Saccharomyces cerevisiae S288C: one gene and its partner. Changing the gene in region 1 together with any one later gene gives a genetic interaction. Each region holds a gene or a part of one and is shown on either strand. Other genes may lie near its edges.

The links. A genetic interaction does not mean that the proteins touch.
Region 2: mutations in PMT5 (region 1) and RDS1 together harm fitness more than expected from each alone (negative genetic interaction), as found in Saccharomyces cerevisiae (one large-scale study listed by BioGRID).

What each region holds. Positions count from the first base shown.
Region 1 is NC_001136.10:287,938-292,640, forward strand, and holds PMT5 (putative dolichyl-phosphate-mannose-protein mannosyltransferase PMT5), read left to right. Parts: upstream 1-1,971; coding exon 1,972-4,203; downstream 4,204-4,703. Other genes in the region: dolichyl-phosphate-mannose-protein mannosyltransferase PMT1, read left to right, coding at 1-1,575. UniProt on the Saccharomyces cerevisiae protein: Protein O-mannosyltransferase involved in O-glycosylation which is essential for cell wall rigidity. Forms a heterodimeric complex with PMT3 and more rarely with PMT2 to transfer mannose from Dol-P-mannose to Ser or Thr residues on proteins.
Region 2 is NC_001135.5:309,313-313,956, reverse strand, and holds RDS1 (Rds1p), read right to left. Parts: upstream 3,000-4,644; coding exon 501-2,999; downstream 1-500. Other genes in the region: AAD3 (putative aryl-alcohol dehydrogenase), read right to left, coding at 1-67; ADH7 (NADP-dependent alcohol dehydrogenase), read right to left, coding at 3,802-4,644. UniProt on the Saccharomyces cerevisiae protein: Zinc cluster transcription factor involved in resistance to cycloheximide.

The DNA.
Region 1 (4,703 bases):
CAATCATTAACTTTGGACGGGGATGGCGCAAGCTTCTTTTCGCCTGAATTTAGATCTACACTAAAGAACAATAAGATCCCCCAAAATGTCGTTGCTGATGTCGGCATTGGCTCCATTATCAGCTTGCGTCATCTCTCTACCATGGGCGGTTATTTGCATTCTCATTCACACAATTATCCAGCTGGTTCGGAACAACAACAAAGCACTTTATATCCTCACATGGATGCCAATAACGATTGGTTGTTGGAACTTTACAACGCACCCGGCGAATCTTTAACAACATTCCAAAACCTAACCGATGGTACCAAGGTCAGACTATTCCACACTGTTACAAGATGTAGATTACACTCTCATGACCATAAGCCACCCGTTTCAGAAAGCAGCGACTGGCAGAAGGAGGTTTCTTGTTATGGTTACAGCGGATTCGACGGTGATGCTAATGATGACTGGGTTGTTGAGATTGATAAAAAGAATTCTGCTCCTGGAGTTGCCCAAGAACGGGTCATAGCTTTGGACACAAAGTTTAGATTGAGACATGCTATGACAGGCTGTTATTTGTTTTCCCACGAAGTCAAGTTGCCAGCTTGGGGGTTCGAACAACAAGAAGTTACCTGTGCCTCCTCCGGTAGACATGATTTAACATTGTGGTACGTTGAGAACAACAGTAACCCATTGTTACCAGAAGATACCAAGCGTATTTCCTATAAACCTGCAAGCTTCATTTCTAAATTTATTGAATCCCATAAAAAGATGTGGCATATCAATAAAAATTTGGTCGAACCTCATGTTTATGAATCACAACCAACTTCATGGCCATTCTTGCTACGTGGTATAAGTTACTGGGGTGAAAATAACAGAAACGTCTATCTATTAGGTAATGCGATCGTATGGTGGGCTGTCACCGCTTTCATCGGTATTTTCGGATTGATTGTTATCACTGAGCTGTTCTCGTGGCAGTTAGGTAAACCAATTTTGAAGGACTCCAAGGTTGTTAACTTCCACGTTCAGGTTATTCACTACTTATTGGGTTTTGCCGTCCATTATGCTCCATCTTTCTTAATGCAACGTCAAATGTTTTTGCATCACTACTTACCTGCTTATTATTTCGGTATTCTTGCCCTTGGCCACGCCTTGGACATAATAGTTTCTTATGTTTTCCGCAGCAAGAGACAAATGGGCTACGCGGTAGTGATCACTTTCCTTGCTGCTTCTGTGTATTTCTTCAAGAGCTTCAGTCCAATTATTTACGGTACACCATGGACTCAAGAATTGTGTCAAAAATCGCAGTGGTTGTCTGGTTGGGACTACAATTGTAACACATACTTTTCTTCATTAGAAGAGTACAAAAACCAAACCTTGACTAAACGTGAATCTCAACCTGCCGCCACTAGTACAGTTGAAGAAATCACTATAGAAGGGGACGGTCCGTCGTATGAAGATCTCATGAACGAGGATGGCAAGAAAATCTTTAAAGACACAGAAGGTAATGAACTAGATCCAGAAGTTGTCAAAAAAATGTTGGAAGAGGAGGGAGCTAACATTTTAAAAGTAGAAAAAAGGGCTGTTTTGGAATAAATTTCCCAGTACTCTCCACATTTTTATGTAAAGTCTTCTATAAGCTCTCGAGCGTATAATTAAAAACGAAAATAGACAAAAAAAACATCATGAATAAAAAAAATGTCTTGAAGCTGACTATATTGTCCATCTGCGTTTAGAGACACGTATTCTATTTCGCTCAAATAAGTATGATCTGCAAGTAGTTTCAGTGGTATTATCATTTCGCACCGTTTTTTTTCCAAGAACTCGTTTACGTGCCGCGAAAAGTCTATCGAATAGGCATTCGAGAACAATAGAAAAGGAACAGAAGCGTAGTACATATTATGCATAGACCCGTTTCTTTTCTTCTTTTTCGAAAATATTCTTATTGATTTAACAATTAAGCAGGTGTGTAAGATCATAACTGCTTTAAAGATGAATAAAGAGCATTTGCTGAAGGTGGATCCCATCCCCGATGTGACTATTAAACGCGGCCCTTTGAGGTCTTTTCTCATAACAAAACCCTGTGATAATTTGAGTTCATTACGAACAGTTACTTCATCTAAGGAAAAGCTTCTAGTTGGCTGTTTGCTGATATTTACTGCCATCGTAAGGCTACACAATATCTCCCTGCCAAATAGTGTTGTTTTTGGTGAAAATGAAGTTGGTACATTTGTTTCTCAATACGTGAACAACATATTCTTCACCGATGTTCATCCTCCTTTAGTGGCAATGCTATATGCAACCGTGTCCTCTGTTTTTGGTTATAAAGGGCTTTTCAATTATGGGAACATTGGTACTGAATACACGGCAAACGTTCCATACGTCGCGATGAGGTTCTTTTCTGCTACTTTGGGCATCGTGTCCGTTTTGGTATTATACTTAACGTTACGAGTTTCTGGCGTGAAAATTGCGGTAGCTGCCATTTGTGCAGTATGTTTTGCAATTGAAAACTCCTTTGTAACGTTGTCTCGTTTCACCTTGATAGAGGGACCCTTTGTTTTTTTCATGGCATGTGCAGTTTATTTCTTTAGAAGATCGGAACTTTATTTGCCAAATTCATGTAAAGCAAACAAGTCATTACTTGCTGCGAGCATTGCATTGGGATTTGCAGTTTCTTCAAAATGGGCTGGCCTCTTCACCATCGCATGGGCTGGTATTATTGTCCTTTGGAGAGTATGGTTCATGATTGGTGATTTGTCAAGACCCATTGGTTCTTCTATCAAATATATGGCGTTCCAGTTTACCTGTCTATTAGCTATTCCTGCCTTCATCTATTTTCTCATTTTCAGCGTGCATATTAAGACATTAAACGTGAATGGTATTAGTAGTAGCTTTTTTCCCGCTGAGTTTAGAAAAACTTTAAAATACAACAACGTTATTAAAGAGACTGTGGCAGAAGTTGCAGTGGGTTCCGCTGTTTCACTGAATCATGTTGGAACGGCAGGTGGTTACTTGCATTCTCATCTTCACAATTATCCGGCTGGTTCCATGCAACAACAAGTTACTTTGTATCCTCACATCGACCAAAATAACAAATGGATTATTGAGCTGGCTGAACATCCAAATGAAAATGTCACAAGTTTCCAAAATTTAACCGACGGTACCATAATTAAATTAAGACAGCTTAAGAACGGCTGCAGGTTACACTCACATGACCACAAACCTCCAGTTTCTCAAAATGCGGATTGGCAAAAAGAGGTGTCATGTTATGGATACGAGGGCTTCGAAGGTGATATAAATGATGATTGGATAATTGAAATCGATAAAAAGAGATCAGAGCCGGGACCTGCCCAGGAACATATTAGGGCTATTGAAACCAAATTTAGGCTGAAGCATTATCTAACTGGTTGTTACTTATTTTCACATCCTGAAAAGCTACCTGAGTGGGGATTCGGGCAGCAGGAAGTTACGTGTGCATACTTTGCAAGGGAAGACTTAACTTCATGGTATATTGAAGAAAACGAAAACGAAATTTCTTTGCCAAATCCAGAGAAGGTTTCTTATAAGAAAATGAGCTTTTGGCAGAAGTTTGTTGCTATCCACAAGTTCATGTTCTACCTTAACAATTATATGGATACTAGTCATGCCTACTCATCTGAACCAAAGACTTGGCCTCTTATGTTGCGTGGTATTGATTTTTGGAATGAAAATGGCAGAGAGGTGTACTTTTTAGGTAACGCTGTTTTGTGGTGGTCTGTCACAGCATTTATTTGCACGTTCATCATTGGAGTGGCTGTTGAGCTTCTTGCTTGGAAATTAGGTGTGAATATTCTACGGGATAAGCACATCATAAATTTCCACTATCAGGTCTTTCAGTACTTATTAGGCTTTGCCGCCCACTATTTCCCTTACTTCTTTGTGGGGCAAAAGTTATTTTTGTACGATTATTTGCCGGCCTATTATTTTGGTATCCTAGCATTTGGTCATGCTTTAGACCTGATTTCAACCTATATTTCTAACAAAAGAAACAATACTGGATATATAGTGGTGGCTATTTTCATGGTTGTATGTTTCTATTTCTTCAGCGAGCATTCTCCACTTATTTATGCTACTGGATGGTCGAGTAACCTGTGTAAGAGGTCCAAGTGGTTAGGAAGCTGGGACTTTTATTGCAATTCACTATTACTATCCGATAGCCACTATGAATTAAACGCTGAATCATGATCCATCCACCCGTATTCAGATTGGACATTCGTTTAGCAAAAGATTTAAAAACTACATTTGAGCTAAACTGCGGGAAAGATCTACGTACATATGGAAAAGAACCAGATGTATATGAAAAAAGAGTTCATAACCGGTCACAATGCAACACTTTCCTATCTTGTTCTTTCGTTGAATTTCACTAAACAACTAACGAATACCAAAAAAATGATCCGTATTAAGTAATGTATATACATATATATTGTCAAATACAACAAGATATTTAATAAACAAAGAATAGATGAATTAGGATTGAACCGGTAAAAGGAAAGCTGTGAACATGGTATTTCTCTTATCGGGCTTTTCAAGATCACCACTGAGTGGCATTTTAAGCACATGAGGAGATGAACGTAGGCAGATCAAAACATTCAGCCGATGATAAAGACTACAACAGCTATTTGATTGTCTTTGCATAATCGCCCTAAATTGGAGGCTTCTACAAAACAACTAATTACATATTCTTA
Region 2 (4,644 bases), on another chromosome or scaffold:
CGGCAGTTTCAGAAAGAAATCGGAGGCGTCCTAACTTGCTAGATGAGTCGGACGCGGACCCAATCATTTTAAGCACGATGGATATGCTTCTTCTAGATGATCGAAAGAGTAATTGAATTTTTTCAAGTCATCATCGAAACCAGCAAAAGATTACGATATTATCCTTCTATTTACCGCAAAGTGTGTTGTTGTTATTATATGCATATTTGAGTATCGTGATCCCTTTTTTTAATCTATTTTATGCATGTAGGACATCTCGGCCGAGCGCAATAGAGGAACGGCCGAGATACTTATTTATACGCACCGCACCTATTACATTCCGCCTGCCTAACCATGCTCATTTTTTCAAATTGACGAGCAGGTTAAAAGAAACACTGCGAAATGTGAGGAATCTTTCCGTCTTGTCGAGTCTTAAAACAGTGGAAAAAACGTGGAGGATAACAGTGTTTCTTGTTTTTGGCTTGTTTTTTTTTTTTTAGCCTTTCCAAATATCCGTATTCTCACAAAGAAGGCATATCGCTCAGATTTTCACCTAATAAATCCCAGAAGGCATCAAAATTGTTGTTTTCCAATAGTTGATTTAAAGCCTCTTCTTCGCTGATATTGAAAAATTCTTCAGCCGTGTTTTGGGACATAGCGGTATTGGCTTTTATTGCGAAGGAACTGGAGAGAACTGCATCCTCCATCTGGCACAACAGAACTTGATTGAAACTCTGCAAACTCTGGCTGCTTATTAACTTTTGTTTGATTCTTCTCGAATTATTGCAGTCCAATCCCCATTTCAATCTCACGGCTTGTTGTACTTTTGGCGGTATTTCACCATCACTGGAAATCTTATCCCAAAACCCATTTGTCACAGATACTAAGCCGCCAACATCGATCAAATACACAACGTATCTAAACATGGGAACAGTTTGGTAAGCACCAAAGTAACTATCTTGAAGTTTTCCCTTTGCTAGATCCACTAAATGTGCCATTTGGTTACGAATGTGTTTAATAAGTCTTTCTAAAATGACAATCATTTCATCTTCTTTTTCATTATCGTTAGTGGATATACTGGAAGAGGCCAATTTTTTCTGACTTTCTTGCTTGTATGAAAACCTTAACAAAATACGACATTGGAACATCCAGATCCTTACAAGCATAAAACATATTTGTTTATCTATGATATAACCGCGACTCTCTAAAATGTTCCCTTGAAACTTATTCTCGAGATAATCAGATATCAACCCTGCTAGCTTTAAGTATGCATTGAAACTTTTCAAAGTAAGGAAATGATAGTTCTTTTCATATTCTTCCCAGTGCATAACACATTTTTTTTCAAAATGTAACGATAGGACATCAAAAATGTTTAAAAAACACATACTTCCCACAATATTTGTAAGAAATATTTCAGTTTTTTGAATATCCATGACATCGAGAACCGTACTTTTGCCAACTTTGATCGCATTTGGTTCCTTTTCATGAAGGGGTTGGTAAATCGAACTTGTAGGAAAGTTCTCAGCCATAAAATCTTCAGATCTTTTAATATTTCCTAAAATGTGGAAAAGCTGCGGATGTTGTATAACTGAAGTGCAATCAGACATTAGTTTACTCAAAATGACGTGAAATTTGTACTTATTCCAAACAATATCATTCATTTGCACGTTCGATTCACTCGCAGAACTTTTTTCATACTCTGAGGAAGCTTCAATATATTCTTCGAAGTCTGTTAAATATGCCTCCATATATTCACTATTTGATTTACCAGCATCACCTTCAGCAAGAGAAATTTGAAAAAGTAATGACTGAACTCCTAACCATAATATCCGTCTCTGCCTTATCACTTCTGGATCTTTGAAACGTTTGTACTTCGAAGGCTCATATTGAAGACCTAAGGTCATGGACAAATTTAAAAGATGGTGCAGAGTAAGCAAGTTAGTGGGGCTCAGTACACAATCGGGACTCTCGGGATCTAAATGCTCTGAAACGTAGAAATATAAAAGGCAAGTAAAAGTGTTCTCATTTGGATAGCGAAATACATCCAGGAGGCATAATAGTTTATGACATAAAAGAGAAAGTTTCCTGGCACTTTCGGAGGCATTTTCTTTTACCATTGAAAGAAGATTTGCATCCAATTTTGAATGCATCAAGGCCATGGCCATTACTATTGTAAGTAATGACAAAGTTTCTATTTTTTTGCGCACATTTTTAACTTCAGTACTAATTTTCCAACGATTATTGTCGTCTTGTAAAAGCAAACTAGTGAGATCGCTCTCAAAGAGTGAAATGTCCATAAAAGGATAGAAGGGATAAATATTTTGATAGAAACACCTCAAAAGTATTTCACAGTCTTTTTTTTGCATCAACACGTCTTCCACTTCAGCGATGAGTGACGGTAGAAGAGTCGAGAAGTTTTCTTCTTCCATTGAAAATGCATTGTATAATAACCCTAAGGCGGCAGACTGAACTCGAAATTGCTTACTATGTTCTATCCGTCTAAAAATGGCCTTTTCTATGAATGACAATGGTCCTAGTATACTTCTTGATGTGTCTTCACAAGGAATACCATTAGCATAATTGCTAAAGTCAACAAGCGCCATGCCGTACAACGAAGCACAAAGTGCCCTGATATACTGGTCATGTTGCGCCAGACTATGCGCAGCAAAAGGATAATCCAGAAATGTAACTAATCCTACTATAACTAGCATATCTTCGGCGTTCCATATCGACAGCGTAGCATTAACGACACCTTCAGGCACTTGTAAGGAATATCTAAGCCCAGTCCTTTCAAGTACAGGTTGCTGTTCGAAATTGAGCTTATGAGAGGAATTGAATCCATCAGAGTCGTTTGCTGCAACATTGGCAGATAAATCTGTTCTCTCTTCATATTCACACTGTAATGAATTTTGTTGGCATCGCGAGCAAGCAGGCCGCAGTTTATCACATTTCCGTTTGATCTTTTTGCATTGCAGGCAAACCAATCTTAACCGAGGTTTTTTTACTGTAATCGAATCCATCAGAGCATTTCAGCAGCCAATTTCATGTTCATTTGTTTATCTACCGCTTACATTAATAAAGTATTAATGAGTAACATTATTAGTAATGATGTCAAAATTTCGTTCTCAATGACTTGTAATAATGAGTGTAATAGTGATCTGCACGGGTCTTGAGTAGAAAATCTACCGAATGCAAAAATGTGAAGAATACACGCTACTATGTAAATCTTTATTTTTCAACTCATTTCAAACCATTGAACCATCCTCTTAGATAGCACAGTATATTAATATAGGCATTCTTTGTAAAAATTTGCGCTCTTCTCTTTTAAAATTGAAGTGCTTTAAGAGGACCTCATCAGACATGCTCGGACTCTAGATTTCGAAGTAAAAGCATGATTAACACTCTACCTTTCGGACGAAAATTGCATTAATGTACCTACTTAATGGGTATTCAGTTTTCAGATTTAATAGTTTGGCTTCGATACATATGAGTAGGCTAAGTATTAAGTTAAATCGCAGAACAAATGTAGACGTACTCGACATGAATGGGTAAAACCCTGCACACATTTCGTATTGAATAAAACTTACTGCTCTGCACTGTTGTCGAGAGATTCTAAATTTTCATCAAAATTTCCCTTAAGTTTAAGAAATATCCTATTCAAGAAATGAATGTCCCTATATATAGGTCATGTGACTACCGAAGAATTGGTTTAAGGTATACATACAATGCAAACCACTTTTCTCTTGTTATGTAATGGGTCATGATAAATTCCGAGATTTGACATGCATTTTAAGAGATTCTGAAAAATATTACGTATATAGACTATTTATGGAATTTCTTATCATAATCGACCAAAGTAAATCTGTATTTGACGTCTCCGCTTTCCATCCTTGTAAAGGCATGGCTGACGCCTTCTTCGCTGATCGGAAGTTTTTCCACCCATATTTTGACATTCTTTTCGGAAACTAATTTCAATAGTTGTTCGATTTCCTTCCTAGATCCGATAGCACTGCTTGAGATTGATACTCCCATTAGGCCCAACGGTTTTAAAACAAGCTTTTCATTAACTTCAGGAGCAGCAATTGAAACGATGGAGCCTCCAATCTTCATAATCTTAACGATACTGTCAAAATTAACTTTCGACAAAGATGATGAGCAAACGACAAGAAGGTCCAAAGCGTTAGAGTATTGTTCTGTCCAGCCTTTATCCTCCAACATAGCAATATAGTGATCAGCACCGAGTTTCATAGAATCCTCCCGCTTGGAGTGGCCTCGCGAAAACGCATAAACCTCGGCTCCCATAGCTTTAGCCAACAGAATCCCCATATGCCCAATACCACCGATGCCAACAATACCTACCCTCTTACCTGGACCACAGCCATTTCTTAGTAGTGGAGAGAAAACTGTAATACCACCACACAATAATGGAGCGGCTAGCGGACTTGGAATATTTTCTGGTATTTGAATAGCAAAGTGTTCATGAAGCCTCACGTGGGAGGCAAAGCCTCCTTGTGAAATGTAGCCGTCCTTGTAAGGAGTCCACATAGTCAAAACGTGGTCATTGGTACAGTATTGCTCGTTGTCACTTTTGCAACGTTCACACTCAAAACACGCCAAGGCTTGGGCACCAACACCAACACGGTCACCGATTTTTACCCCAGTGTG